3 linked regions of the Schizosaccharomyces pombe genome follow. The main gene of each other region encodes a partner of the protein of the gene in region 2 in a complex. Each region holds a gene or a part of one and is shown on either strand. Other genes may lie near its edges. The genes, in order: tfg3, tfg2 and tfg1.

Region 1 (4,057 bases), on a different chromosome or scaffold from region 2:
AGAATCTCCATGACACCTCTGATCAATAGCGTAAATATCCCGGTCAAGTTTGCAGGAAAACTTTTTTGCCAAACTTCTCCAATTACGCTTAGATCCCAATAGTCCGTGGAAGATCAAAACTGGGGGGTGTTTAGCAACTGTGGCAGAATACTTCTCAAAGGCTAATTTAACTGGTTTTAGAGACATAACTCTATAATTTCTTGTGCAGTAATAAATAAACACTATAAGGTCGATATAAAATAATTATAATTTAATCTGTCATGAAGTTGTAGTTGCAGGAAACGTTTGCGAATAGCAAAGTGAGCCTAATCCAAGGAATGATAAATAACTACTTATCGGCAGTGTGATCATAATCTGAATTGCTGATTATGAAAGCTAAAAAGGTCGGTTTTAAAATATTATGTAAGTAAAAACAAAAATAATTATATTAATCTAACCAAATATTCTTTTTCGAGACAAAAGCTACACCATAGTACCAAAATACAAATGTTTGTATCGCTGTTTAAGCGCAAGTTAAACTCAAAAAATAGTGAAAAGGAATGAAATTTCTTATTTAAATTATGATACAAGAACTCATTAAGCAGTCTTCAGGAAAAAAGTAGAATGGGGAAACTAACGCTTCTCCCTTAAAGTAGGCTGCACAAAACTGCAATGCTCTTAATTACATAGTGACGCGTTTAGCACAGAAACTGTATAATAAGAGCAGAAGATTGTCCGGCAGAGTATATAAGTCAATATGGAATTCACCCCCTTCAATGTCGTTTCGGACATACATGTCTGGTGTTTTGTTCTCATTCACCATCTGCACAACTTGTAACAAGTCATCCTCCTGAAGTTTTTGCAAACCCTCTGCAAGTTTATCCATGTCAACAGGTTTAGCTTTCGCCTTTTTCTTCCCAGCACCAACTTCTGATTCGTTTTTTCTTTTATCCTTACGAGCTTCTTCACCTTCATCACTGTAGCCAGGTACTTCTCCAGTGGCTGTCAGTGCCTTTAATAAACCTGGCCTAGTAGCATTGATATTCTAAGACTCAGTTAGCACCATAAAATCAGAGTCTAGTAAATGTTAAAATACTTAAAACACATACCAATTCGATATCCTCATGATAATGCTCCTGCTGAAAATGTAAATAGTGAAGGAACCGATGTTCACCACCTTTGTCCGCATAGTATATTATGATCTCCATTTCAAACTCACCCCATCCTTGCTCTTTTATTTGGAAAGGAGGTTTTCTGATAGCTAAAAAAATTAGTTAACGTTATTCTGCTAATCTTCCTTTCATCACATAATACATACTGCGTGTAGGATTTTGAAATGTTGGATGTAGCTTATAGGTGACACGATCAACAAAGGAAGCGTCAGTTTCTTCTCCCTGAGGATTTAAGCAGACCAATTTTATAGACCATTCCCTCACAGGGAAGCTTTGATCGTTCAACACAGCTGCTTCACCTCCCGGCAACACATTCTAAATATTGTAAGTTCAAAGTTCATCAAGATACTTGCAAGAAAAAGTTTTGTTTTTTATTGTTCTTCTAAATTCAATTGTACGAGCATCCTGTATAATGCCAAAGTTTTTTGTAATTGCACCTAACCTTGACCATTGGGTCAAATAACGCGCCTCGGTCGTAGCAAATGAATCAGATGGCTTTCATACCTGATCAGTAATTAATCTCACAGTTCTTTTCACAGTTGTCATATTCTTAAATCAATGTATATGAGGACGAAAAATATATGGATAGAAGACGCTTAGCGAGTCGTGAGAAGAGATATCGGGCTAACGATTCTATAACTTTTGCGGTATTCTTAAAATTGAAAAGATAAAAAATCTTGCCAATGTACGAATTGAAATAGAAGCACCAGTAATTTGTGTTCAGAAATATTGAGCACTACTACTTTTAAGGACTTCTAAAAGTCGGTTAACTCAAGGATAAAGCAAATGACTTTGGTTTAATAACAAATATCTCTTTTGTTAAAATTTATTAGCAGATTACAGGGAAGTAACTGCTAAAACTGTGAGACTATAAAACGTTTGAATAGTGGAATATGACTTTTGGGTTCGTCACGGCCCAAATTCCTGGAAAGTACAAGTAGACTTACAAACTGACAGTGAAGGTATGGTACTGCAGTGTAATATACTAAAAACTTTAATGCACAGTCAGTTTAATTTTAAAGCATAATAACGAAACTTTTGGATGCGATGAATTTTACTCGAACTATATAGTAAACAAACCCTCGAGCACCATGTTAATATAAGGCATTGGGTATATTATTTTTATGCAGAGGTAAGAGTTTATCCCGATTCCCAAGTTAGCTTATTCATAAATTGGATCTAGGCTTTAGCTGAAAGAACTTTGAACTATTGGATTCTTTTCCAGCGATGGATTAATCTGGCAACTTCTTTAGAACATTTGAGAATAACAAAAAATACCGCAGCAAAAGAACTTTGTTGCTAATACGAGAATAGTGAAAGTTGTTTAATATTTTAAAAAATTGATTGTGTCAGTAATCGATCCTCGTTATCCAGAAGCCGTGTCAGTTACGTATATAAATGGAGTGGTAGCATATGCGTTGTTCACATTGTCAATTACACCCGGCAGCTTAAGCTTTGATTTAATTTCACTTTAGTACACAGTGAAACATGACTAACGAAAGACATGATGAATTAGCATGCTTAGGCATATTCCCTTTGAAAAATCCCAAACAACTAGATGGTGTTGTTACCCCTATCTTGCAGTTGAGAGTCAAGTTTTTAGCACCCACGGATCGATGGTGGGAAGGATTAGTTATAAATAAGGACCTCAGCAAAGAGGAGTCAGAAGAGTTATGGAAATTTTTGCAAAGCTTTGACCCTCGTTCTGCCAAGTTTGTTGGTCGCGGGACACCTGAAGACCATGTGATATCGTATTTATTTGAAGCAGGGAAGTATGAATTTGAGGTATTTTTTTACCAAAAGGATCATTCTCTGAAACTTATGGGCCTCTATGATAAAACCCAAAAACAATTGTTGAGACGCGATTCTAGTGGTGACTTAACATCCACTGACAAGGAGCGGGATGTTTCTCCTGTTTCACACAGCGAAAAGCCTTACTGGGATCGTTATGATCTTGACCAACCTTCCAATCAAGATGTAGAAGAATCTAGAAACCTTGTCCAAGAACCTAAGCATCGATCGAAGAAATATGATCGTCTTGGTTTGGATGAGCTAGTAATGGAACAAACTGCTAGTCTTTGGAAAATCTGCTCCAGAAATGGCATGAGTGTCGATGAATTTCTACGCTTCATTCGCATGGGTTTGGAATCTAATTTCCAACATTCAAACCAAGTGATTCCAACGCATTTTTAACGATATTATATCATTCATATTCAATCGACACAAATGTTTAGCAACCGTTTAGTGTCTTTTACCCAAGAAATATCTAAACACTTTTTTTATTTTTATAAAATATTTGTAAATTAAAAAAAGATGATTAAAACGATAAATGCTTAATTAGGTATTTGTTGAAACACATTTCATTTTATGATAAAGAACGTTCCTAGTATCAGCATTATTTATTTAGATGTAAATTGGGAATTGAACCTAATTACACCTTTTATGTATACATTCTTCTTCACTTTCTAGCGGATTTCCAAACCGAAAGTCAAAGTCATTTGGAGATTGTATACATAGCTCTATAGCCGACGAAATTATGACCCTCAATTTTTATGGAAATAAAAAACACCAATTTCTTATCATTCTTTGTTTTAGTTCGTTTTACTTTAGCTTGGAATTATCAGATCATTATTTTTTGTAACCTATAATAACTATGCATATAAACCGTTAGTAAAAATCCGACCTTTTATTTTCAATGGTATCCTCACATTTACTCAAAAAATGGAATATCACGTAACAGCTTTCAACTCTCTTGTTTGTAATTAAGTATAGCATTTTTGAACATCTAATAATTAAACGTACACATTAACCGATAACGCTTTTCTGCCTTTCTTATAGTAAGCGGATAGAAAGTGAATATGAAAACGGAAAATTAAAGGGATTTATTACTTTTTTTACTTATCTTA
Region 2 (5,434 bases):
TCTTCATTACTGCGATGAAGTCGAACGGATGCTGCAAACTCATCGTTAGTGAAGAAGAGGAGGATCTTATCGTAGTTGATAGCAACGGTTCCTATGCCGTCACTTGCGATCCCATCGATGGCTCTTCCAACATTGACGCCGGTGTTAGTGTAGGTACCATATTTGGTATCTATAAACTGCGACCCGGCAGTCAAGGCGATATTAGCGATGTCTTAAGGCCTGGTAAAGAAATGGTTGCTGCTGGCTATACTATGTATGGTGCTTCGGCTCATTTATTGCTTACCACAGGTCATCGTGTCAATGGCTTCACCTTGGACACTGATATTGGCGAATTCATCTTGACCCATCGAAACATGAAAATGCCTTTGCAACATAGTATTTATTCCATTAATGAGGGTTACACTGCATTTTGGGATGAAAAAATCGCTCGTTTTATTGCTCATCTCAAAGAAAGCACACCAGACAAAAAACCATACTCTGCTCGATACATTGGTTCTATGGTCGCCGATATGCACCGTACCATTCTTTATGGTGGGTTGTTTGCTTATCCATGCTCAAAAGGAAATAACGGAAAGTTGAGACTTCTTTACGAATGTTTCCCCATGGCCTTCCTTGTTGAACAAGCAGGAGGTATTGCGGTAAACGACAAAGGAGATCGCATTCTGGATTTGGTACCCAAAACATTACACGGAAAAAGCAGTATTTGGCTTGGAAGTAAACATGAAGTCGAGGAATATATTAATTTCATAAAATAGTAATTCCTAGTTCTTTGAAGTCCTCTCCGTTACTTTTTATCTTCTTATCACCAAACATGGTTATTCCATTCCAATAATGCAGAAACTGAAACTTTTGTCAATTATTCTCTGCATCATCATAAACATGGATCTCCAATTAGGTTATTTTTCTCACATATATATGTATATATATATAATATTTGTATATGAATACATGTATCTTTTAGATGAAAAACTTATGGTTGACAGTTGCACTTTGTCAACCTCTTAGTTTTTTAACTTAAAGAAAAAGAGATAATAGTTTTTGTCGTGGATAGAGATTTTAAGGTGGAATTCACCTATTTTTCAGAGGACGTTGGAAAAGCTTAATGTTTTCAAGTAATGTTTTAGGATACATAAGTACATTTGAAATAAATGTCTTTATTAAAAAACAAACAGCTACATTTGTTGTGATTTTTTCTGTATTCAATAATCATCTGCTAACTGTATTTTCTAAACCGTAAAGTCCAAATCCTGACTGTAGACAAGTTAGTCTTTGTTTACGGCAAGATGTTGAATGGAAGTAAAGACGCCGTCAGTTGCAGTACACTTCATAACATTATTTTTTGACCAGGGTGACATTCACAGGCTCAAAAGAAGGAAATACCGAACAATTCAATCCAACGTGAACTGTTTCTGTAACAGTACTCCCTTAAACATTCGATATATTTTTCTCGTAGAAAGCTACATCTTTTTAAAATACCAAAGTGTCTAACAATATTCTAAACTTGTTTTTAAGGATTGATTACTTTATGTGAATTTAAATTACCGAGGGCTATATGCAATTCTCGACTTCACTCCGTACCTTAAATCGGTTTGTTAAAATAAGTTAGTGAAGTACAATGACATTTCGGTAAAATATTTATGCGATGCTTGTAAAGAACCGTAAATCAAAGTTGCTTTAGGGAGGCGACATCAATGCTTCTTTCTCTTAACTTGTTAAAGAAAGAACCATTGAATAGTGGAAACTGCTTGAGTAATTTTCACTATTTTGAAGGATTTAAAATGTCTGAAGAAAAACCGACGGTTCGAACTGAGGAGGATGACCGCTATGAAGACGATGCTGGTGATTTAGATTTGGGTCAAATTGGCTCAAGAGTGTGGTTAGTTAAAATTCCCAAGTTTTTGATGGACAAATGGAATTCAATTCCAGAAGACGATGCCGCTAATCTAGGGTGTGTTCGGGTCAAGAATGATGAAATACAATTACTTCTTCAAAACAGTCCTGAAAATGCAGACGTCCCTAAAATTTATAATTTACGCGTAATGAATAAGTTTGTTAGGAATTCTTATGTTTTCCGAGAATCAGAGACATCTAGTAGCATGAAAAGTACTGCTTTGGTTGGTACCGTTGCCCATGAGTGCAATGTCTCACCTGTTATTAATGATGACTATCGCCGAGTCATGCAAAAACGTGCTTTGGCAGCTAGTGCCCCTAAACGCAAAGTTCAAATGATAGATGATCGTGGAGGTAGTTTGCTTGCACCTGGAACACTTGGTTCTCGTTCGAGAAGCACAACTTCATTTATCGTATGTTTTGCAAATATAATGTTTAATTGTAAGCATCAAACTGCTAACTTTTTTTTCAGAGAAATGTCAAACCCAGGACTGGGGAGGGTCTTAAGAATTCCCGTATACCTAGAAATGAGTTACTAGATATCTTGTTTAAGTGCTTTGAAGATTACGAATACTGGACTCTTAAAGGACTTCGTGAATATGTTAAACAACCAGAGGTATGTCACTATACTTTGATAATGGATATTCTTTGCGTAATTGAAATTATCCATTTTTTATTTAATTTGATTTGTCAGAATTAAACTAATGAATTCATATTAGGTTTATCTCAAAGAAGTTTTAGACAGTATTGCTATTTTGAATAAAAGAGGGCCTTATGCTCTTAAATACAGCCTCAAGCCTGAATACAAGGGCACAATGGATGCTGCATCTGTCGAGTTGCGCAATCAACAAGCCTCTCAATCCGAGTCATCCTCGATCGATCATACAGGCAAAAATACATCACCTGATAATCCTGGAACGAATGCTGAAGAGGATGAAGATGATGATGGGGTTGAGATGATTGATGTTGTTTGATTAACGAATTAATGTACTTTCTTCTTTTGGCTTTTTGTTAAAAAGCTTCCAAAATCTTAGCGTTTCGTCCCCAGCTCCCGTAACTATAGACTGGCCATCGGGACTCATAGAAAGGTAGAGGACACGGTTTGTATGGGCAGTAAGATTGGCGATATTTTTCAATGAAGGATATTTCCATAAGGATACTTGGTTTTTTGCAAAACCATGAGTAGTAACAATTTCGTTAGAAGTCTTGGACCAGGCCATGTTACATACTTGTGAGCCAGTATCCAACTTATTTTGTAGCCTTCCAGTCAAAGTATTATGAATCGTTAGACATCTGTCGATGGTACCCCCGCCGCTTGCGAGGATCCCTCGTTGATGAGGGCTCCATCCAATTGCTTTGACCGCTGCTGTATGCTCTTCAAACTTATGTAAAGGACGTGAAGAGCGGTAATCCCATACGAATAAATTATTGTCATTCCCTCCTGAAGCAAGCTGTCCTAGACTTCTATCCCATTGCAATCCGCATATTTCTTGTTCATGAACTTTCATCATTTCGGCACAGCAACCTGGTGCTCTTAGGTCATGATGTAAAATTACTTCGTCTTTGCCTCCACTTGTGAGGGTATTATCGTTCCATGCTAATGCTGCCACCCTTTCGGAGTGACCTTTTAAAGATCTGACTGATTTCGTAGACTCGATATCCCAGATGTAAATTACTCCTGAATCTGTCCCTACAGCTAATTGAGTTCCTTTACCTGTCCATAAGACGCTTGTGACATGATTTGTTGCTCCGAAATCATGTAATTGAACCACTTTACCACTTGCTGCTGACCAGAGATAAATGCTGCTTGCTAGTCCGACTGCCAAGACATTAGATTGGCCCCAGTCAAGCAAGTTTAAATAAAAGTCATTTTTTAAGTAAGGTGCATCCAAGATTTTATATGGAGTTTTTGGAAAAGCTCTTTTGGGCTTTTGTGGTTGCCGCAACATATCTTGAGATTGCGGTGAAATAGGAGATAGAGAATATGATTTTCTATCAGGTGTATCCAACATTTTCTTCTCAATTTTCCTTTTGTCTTCTCCATAATAGAAGGCTCTAGAGCGAGATGCTTGTGAACCGAAGAGCTCCATGCTTAGTAGCTCCATGAATTGCCTTTGAACTGCTGTCGTTAGTAATGGGAATATAAAACTAAAAAAGGTACATACTAGTGCCAGAGGTTTTGCGCCTAAGATTTGATCCATGGCTTAACACACATTCTTTGAATGACTGGAAACTAAAGTTGAACTCATTGCTAACGTTGCGAATGGGAATGAATCGGTCTCCCATTGTCAACCAATTCTTTATAAGTTGAAGTTAGTCGGGATGGAAGGGAAATGTTGAGATTCCTATTTCGTGAATAAATACCTTCCATGCTTTATTTGTTTTTACTGAGTGCTTTTTTCTGCCCGTCTGCAAGACATTGCTACAGAATTATGAAACCAGGTGGCTTGAAAAAATGCTAATTATGAGCTATAATGACTGCAGTAAACAAACATTTGCTAAATACTCTGTATAACTGCTAAAAATAAAGCTATCCTGTGATCGCCGTATTACCTAATGCTACCGTTTAAACTAAACAAATGCACTCATCAAAACAAACTGTTGATAAAAAATATCTCAATAACAATATTATAGTCATCAACCAGCAAAAGGTGATGTTATGGTAAGAGAACTCCTAAAATATGATGTTCATAGAAAAACAACAACAATGATCAGTTGACCACGATGTGCCAAACCCATTGTTTTCTGAATGTTTATTATGATCATCAGATCCCGGTCTTGTAAACTTATTGCCAAGAACCCAATTTCTTCAAAATGTTCAATTAATTAAACATTTATTTTAGTTGTTTTGTAACAGAGTAAATAGTGCTATAGATTCGTTCAAAAAAATTCCAACTACTATCGAATGCAAATACTTTTTACCATGTATGTGAGTACAAAAAAAATTTTCTCCTCATTCTCATTTCAATTGATTTATTCCTAACTATTTCTGTATTTCTTTTGGGATATTCATTTTTAAAGACAAATCTTCGTATGCTACTAATTTTTCCAATTAAATACTATTGGTATATTTCTGCATTTCTTGTTTATTTGATTAATAGTACAATTTCATATTTTAGGACGATAATAAATATGAGTTTTTTTGTACTAAGTGGTAAGCAAAAACAACATTTTTTGTATATCATTAATGTTTTCGTTGTACTACTTAGCATTGCCTATAAGGAAATGCAGCGTGTCGATATATCCCTTAATAACAAACCATCTTTATTTCAGATTTACACTCCTCAGTTTGTGTCCCACCCTTCCTAAATCGCTGTGCTAGCAAACTGCGAATTAAAGCTCACGAAGCGTTTTGTACGATATTAGCGATTGATAAGTTGAAGTGATTACTCAATTATAGTACTTCAAAAATATAATCTTTATGGATACCTCCGTATTAAATCCGGAACTTCAGATTCATGGATTTATTGGCGTGGATTCTTTGCAATCATCAAGGAAACGAAAGAATGATTTTGATGATTTTCCACTTAACAAAGGATTGAAA
Region 3 (4,397 bases), on a different chromosome or scaffold from region 2:
ATTCTCTCTCATCACTAATGATCCCAAAACTACTGCTATCTTTGTGAACATTTTTGGAGGTATTGTTCGATGCGACGTTATTGCCAAAGGTCTTATCTCGGTAGTATCAGCGTTGAATCTGAACATACCTATTATTTGCAGACTTCAAGGAACCAACCAAGGTGCTGCCAAAGAGGTAATCAACAACTCAGGTCTCCGTATTTTCTCATTTGATGATCTTGATGAAGCAGCTAAGAAGGCTTGTCGTTTCAGTCGCGTTGTCGAAATGGCACGTGAAGCCGATGTGAATGTTAGCTTCGAGCTACCTTTGTAGGCTGCTAATTTTAACGGCTTTAATGTATAATTGTTTACAACCCCCTTTTCTTATTATCATTACGACATACGGCATCATGGAATGATTTTATATAATGACTTGTGTATATAGAATTCTTAGCACAGCTGTTTACCATGTCTTAAAGAAATGGTTTGTTATTTTTCTTCTTTATATATTTTATACACATTTACAGTTATATAGTAGCATAGTTGAACATCGCGATCGTAAACTCGTGTATTTGATACTATACCGATCGACGAGTGCACTTCTTAACAATCCGACGTTTTCTATTTTAGGGGAAATGTTAAATTGTAATAGTTCTACTATGCTCTTAAATTAATGCAATTTTGAATTTTGTTTCCAAAAATAAAACAAATGTTTTCTTTAATGTTCATTAATATATAAACGTTATTACATAGATAATTCATAACTAGTTTTTTAAAACGAGTAGCTTGTTCTCAAATCGAGCAACCTTTCGAATGATCTTCTGTATTCCCAACCGATTTCTGTTGTCGGCTCTAATTTTGCGTTGGAACAGGTGAACTAGATCCTTAATAGAAATGGGACCAGCTCTTAAAGCCTTCATTACCTCTGCCTCCGTAATCAGATTAGAATCTAAAAGCACGTTAATAAATTTTCTGGTAAATGTAAAACTTTAGCATACCATCAATTGGAACATTTGTAGTATCTCCCACAACCTCCACTTGATCTCCTACACTCGTTTCTGTAGACCCCATGCTAGGGACCATACGGGGAAAGTCATTGGCAAACCGTGATAACTTTTCACTTGATAAGCGGAGAATTATATATCCAGGTTTGTTAATAAGTTGTTCTTGAGGCCTTATTTGAATAGAAGTATTAGGTGATTGTAGTTGCGATGAAGCTTTGACAGGAGATACGCTGCTTGGCGTTCGTTCTAGTGGTCTTGGTGTATTAGTTTTGGAAGCGTTCGCAGAAAATCTAGACTTTAGTTTTTCTTCACGCTTTTGCAATTCTTCTTCTTCTTGCAAAACTTCTTCTTCACTAGACGCATCATGGGAGGAAGCATAAGGGTCCTCATCTTCCTCATCACTCTCATAAGCTAAATTCTTTTCAAGCAATTTTAAGTATCTTTGCAGCTTTTTTCCTTCACGCGACATTTGTCTATCATTCTCCTCTTCAAGGTCGACATCTTGATCAGCTTCACCAAACAAATTGGCAGTTAGCATTTCCTTTTTAATCTTGTCTTTCAACTTCTTATTATCTTCTTCATTTCCTTCCATAATAGGTGCTTCTTCATCGTCAGCGAATTCCTCGTCATAATCTAGTTCATCATCACTTCCACTAGCTCTCGGTCCCGTTACAGGACGTGCATTTGGAACCGTCTTAAGTTTATACATGGGTGAAGCAGAGCCTGCCTCTGCTAAGTTTTCTTCACTCTCCTTTTTCATAAACCAGCGAGGAATCGGAGTTTTTTTATTCATCTAAATGGGTTAGACAAGACCTGATGGAAATAAGGACTGACCTTTGCCTCCGCTTCATCAATTGAAAGCGTTTGGAAATTGTTACGTTGATTAAATCGATAAAATCTATCAGTTGGAATCACCTTAAAACCATTTTCCTATAGAGTAAGCATAAAAAATCTTAAATGATCAAAAGATGAATGATAAACATCCAACATCTTCAAATGGGATAAAAACTTACAGAGAACATGAACAATACATATGCAGACGATTGGCCGCCTTCCATCGTACTAACCCATGTGTTTTTTCCTTCAAAATCTTCCATAATCCAAGGAGATAACTCCTCCTCTTGTAGTCTGCGGGCCTGTGGATCAACTTTGACGACCTGGCGAGTTTTCCTTTTAAAGGCATTCTGCTTCATGTTTTGAGCGCCACCGTAAGGAGCGATTGAAGCGATGTTCACGTTACTGGAGCTTCCTTGTTCTGCATTTTGTTCTCCGTTTGACGAAGATGGAGCATTGGGGTCTCTGCGTTGCATTTTTATGGGTGGCACAAAGGATTTGGAAGGATCAATGGCTTTGTTAGAGTGAAATTTTAATAAATGGTATTTAGTTGTTTTTCTTTCACTCTCTGGACACCATGAAAGCTGGAAATCCAAAAATTTTTGCTGCGATTGTGTCGAAGCATTATTTTGGGAGTCAGGCTCCTCAACTTTGGGTTTCTTCTCATCAGGATTTTCCTGCTTTACATTTTCAAAAACTTTTGTCTCTTGTGAATCCATGTTCTCCGATAAAATATGTCAATACTGATCTTCCGCCGGTGTTGGAAGGTAGCGAGTTAAGAAGCGCTCAGGTAAGAAAATATGCATTCAGCACATATGTCAAACGCCGACTATATTGCTAAAAAGTATTTACGAAAAGATCAAGGGAAAAAGAAAAAGAAGAAAGAGAAGGATTTTGTAGAAATTCAGGATGAAGATGTCGCTGGATGGGACGATGACAATTCATTTTCACTAGTCAACAGAGAACTCACATCTTTGCATGATGCCCCTACAATTGTCGCAAATGAAAGCCTTAAAGATCGAGATATTGATGCTATTTATCAGAATATAGAAAAAACTACTAATAAACCTGCTCAGTTGTGGAAAGCTGTGGGGAATGATGAAGTTGTCGAATCTGAACAACAGGATTCTCATGATGCTGAATCAATTCCTCAGTTCGGTCTGTTAACTGGAAAGCAGGTGACCTTTAAAGCTGAAGAAAGAAGAAAGAGAGAAGAGAAATCATCCAATCTTGATGAGGAAGAGCTTCGCAAAAGTCGCGAAACTGTTTACAGAGATGCCACAGGGAGAAGGATAGATCTGGTTCTTGCAAGAAAAGAAGCCAAAAGAAAATTAAAAGAGAAAGAGGAAGAAGCTAGAAGACAGAAGGAACAACAACAAGGTGTGGTTCAAGTGCGTCAACAGAAAGAATACCTAAAAGAACTTGAAAGGCAAAAAACGGTGCCATTGGCGCGTTATGAGGACGATCCTGAATACAATAAGGAATTGAAAGAAAGGTCTCGTTGGAATGACCCAGCTGCTTCGTTTCTCACTAATAAACCTGTATCATCAAAAGCTACTTATCAAGGATATGCGCCTCCCAATAGGTTTAATATACGACCTGGCCATCGTTGGGATGGAATTATTCGTGGTAATGGATTTGAAAATAAATGGTTTCAGCGCCAAAATGAGAGAAAGGCACAAGAACACGAGGCACATATGTGGGCAATTGAGGAGTAAGTAATCAGTTTTTGAATAAATCTCTAACGAAATCAGCATGTAAATATTTAACGATTTCATTATTTCTTCTGCTGAAAATGGAGGAGACTATTTGGTTTCATGTATATGATATTGTAATGCGAGTTGAACATAATCTCTTCTAGTTTACGAGTGTCAACCGAGGCACAATACTTGATTTTCCAGATTCTGTCCCATTTCCTTTAATTAACTAATGGCTTTGATATTTACCTACAAAAGCAAAACGCTTATAGCAAATAGCTTTATTGGGAAATCGCACACCACGAGACAATGGTAGCCTTATCTATACTAAAATATTTTTTGCTAGTTTATATATATTTATTTTTAAATTTCTGACGATTTCTTAATCCTATATTCAATTATGGGTCATTAAACGTATGAGTATGAGCGACCACGGCTGTTAGTAGTAAGAGGGTTTGAAATATCATCCATTCAGTTATTTCTCTAAATTCTGAACACTTTTTACCAATATTAAATATCATTTCCCTATTGCTGTCCCTAAGGGCCCAAATAATTCACTGCTGATTCTGTGAATTCATATGTATTGGCTTTTAAATGATAGTAAGAGCTAAACGAGAACAATCGATGTTTGAAAATAGTATTTTAAAATTTTTAATTTTATACTTTTTAAGCCCTTTCACATCCACATAGACAGACTTGACTTCACACTTGCTGTATACGTAAAGCAAAGCTTTTTGCATAAGAATTTGTAATTCCAACCGAGTACAAGGATGATTCAAATACTCTTTAACGTTTTACTGTTGACCTGTTTAGTATGAAATATTGTTTTTAACAATTAAGGTTCGGTGAACTCGGTGACTTCAATTTCCTTAGTTCACCGAGA

What was found.
Region 1: tfg2 (region 2) and tfg3 share a complex: the UniProt entries of both Schizosaccharomyces pombe proteins name them as parts of the fcp1/TFIIF/polII complex.
Region 3: tfg2 (region 2) and tfg1 share a complex: the UniProt entries of both Schizosaccharomyces pombe proteins name them as parts of the fcp1/TFIIF/polII complex.

What each region holds. Positions count from the first base shown.
Region 1 is NC_003424.3:893,006-897,062, reverse strand, and holds tfg3 (TFIID, TFIIF, Ino80, SWI/SNF, and NuA4 complex YEATS family subunit Tfg3), read right to left. Parts: upstream 2,065-4,057; 5' UTR 1,698-2,064; coding exon 1,656-1,697; exon of another isoform or gene 1,467-1,655; coding exon 1,298-1,466; exon of another isoform or gene 1,241-1,297; coding exon 1,089-1,240; exon of another isoform or gene 1,025-1,088; coding exon 662-1,024; 3' UTR 516-661; downstream 1-515. Other genes in the region: SPOM_SPAC22H12.03 (hydrolase), read right to left, coding at 1-186; protein mug35, read left to right, coding at 2,640-3,344. UniProt on the Schizosaccharomyces pombe protein: Functions as a component of the DNA-binding general transcription factor complex TFIID, and the RNA polymerase II associated general transcription factor complex TFIIF.
Region 2 is NC_003423.3:193,420-198,853, reverse strand, and holds tfg2 (transcription factor TFIIF complex beta subunit Tfg2), read left to right. Parts: upstream 1-1,706; 5' UTR 1,707-1,778; coding exon 1,779-2,303; intron 2,304-2,362; coding exon 2,363-2,506; intron 2,507-2,609; coding exon 2,610-2,864; coding exon of another isoform or gene 2,865-4,009; 3' UTR 4,010-4,055; coding exon of another isoform or gene 4,056-4,176; 3' UTR 4,177-4,816; downstream 4,817-5,434. Other genes in the region: fructose-1,6-bisphosphatase Fbp1, read left to right, coding at 1-755; ubiquitin ligase Mfr1, read right to left, coding at 2,865-4,009, 4,056-4,176; RNA polymerase I transcription termination factor/ RNA polymerase II transcription factor Reb1, read left to right, coding at 5,312-5,434. UniProt on the Schizosaccharomyces pombe protein: TFIIF is a general transcription initiation factor that binds to RNA polymerase II and helps to recruit it to the initiation complex in collaboration with TFIIB. It promotes transcription elongation.
Region 3 is NC_003421.2:2,160,588-2,164,984, forward strand, and holds tfg1 (transcription factor TFIIF complex alpha subunit Tfg1), read right to left. Parts: upstream 2,587-4,397; 5' UTR 2,537-2,586; coding exon 1,997-2,536; exon of another isoform or gene 1,914-1,996; coding exon 1,818-1,913; exon of another isoform or gene 1,807-1,817; intron 1,777-1,806; coding exon 978-1,776; intron 929-977; coding exon 744-928; 3' UTR 608-743; downstream 1-607. Other genes in the region: succinate-CoA ligase beta subunit Lsc2, read left to right, coding at 1-313; protein Cwf26, read left to right, coding at 2,633-3,531, 3,572-3,578. UniProt on the Schizosaccharomyces pombe protein: TFIIF is a general transcription initiation factor that binds to RNA polymerase II and helps to recruit it to the initiation complex in collaboration with TFIIB. It promotes transcription elongation.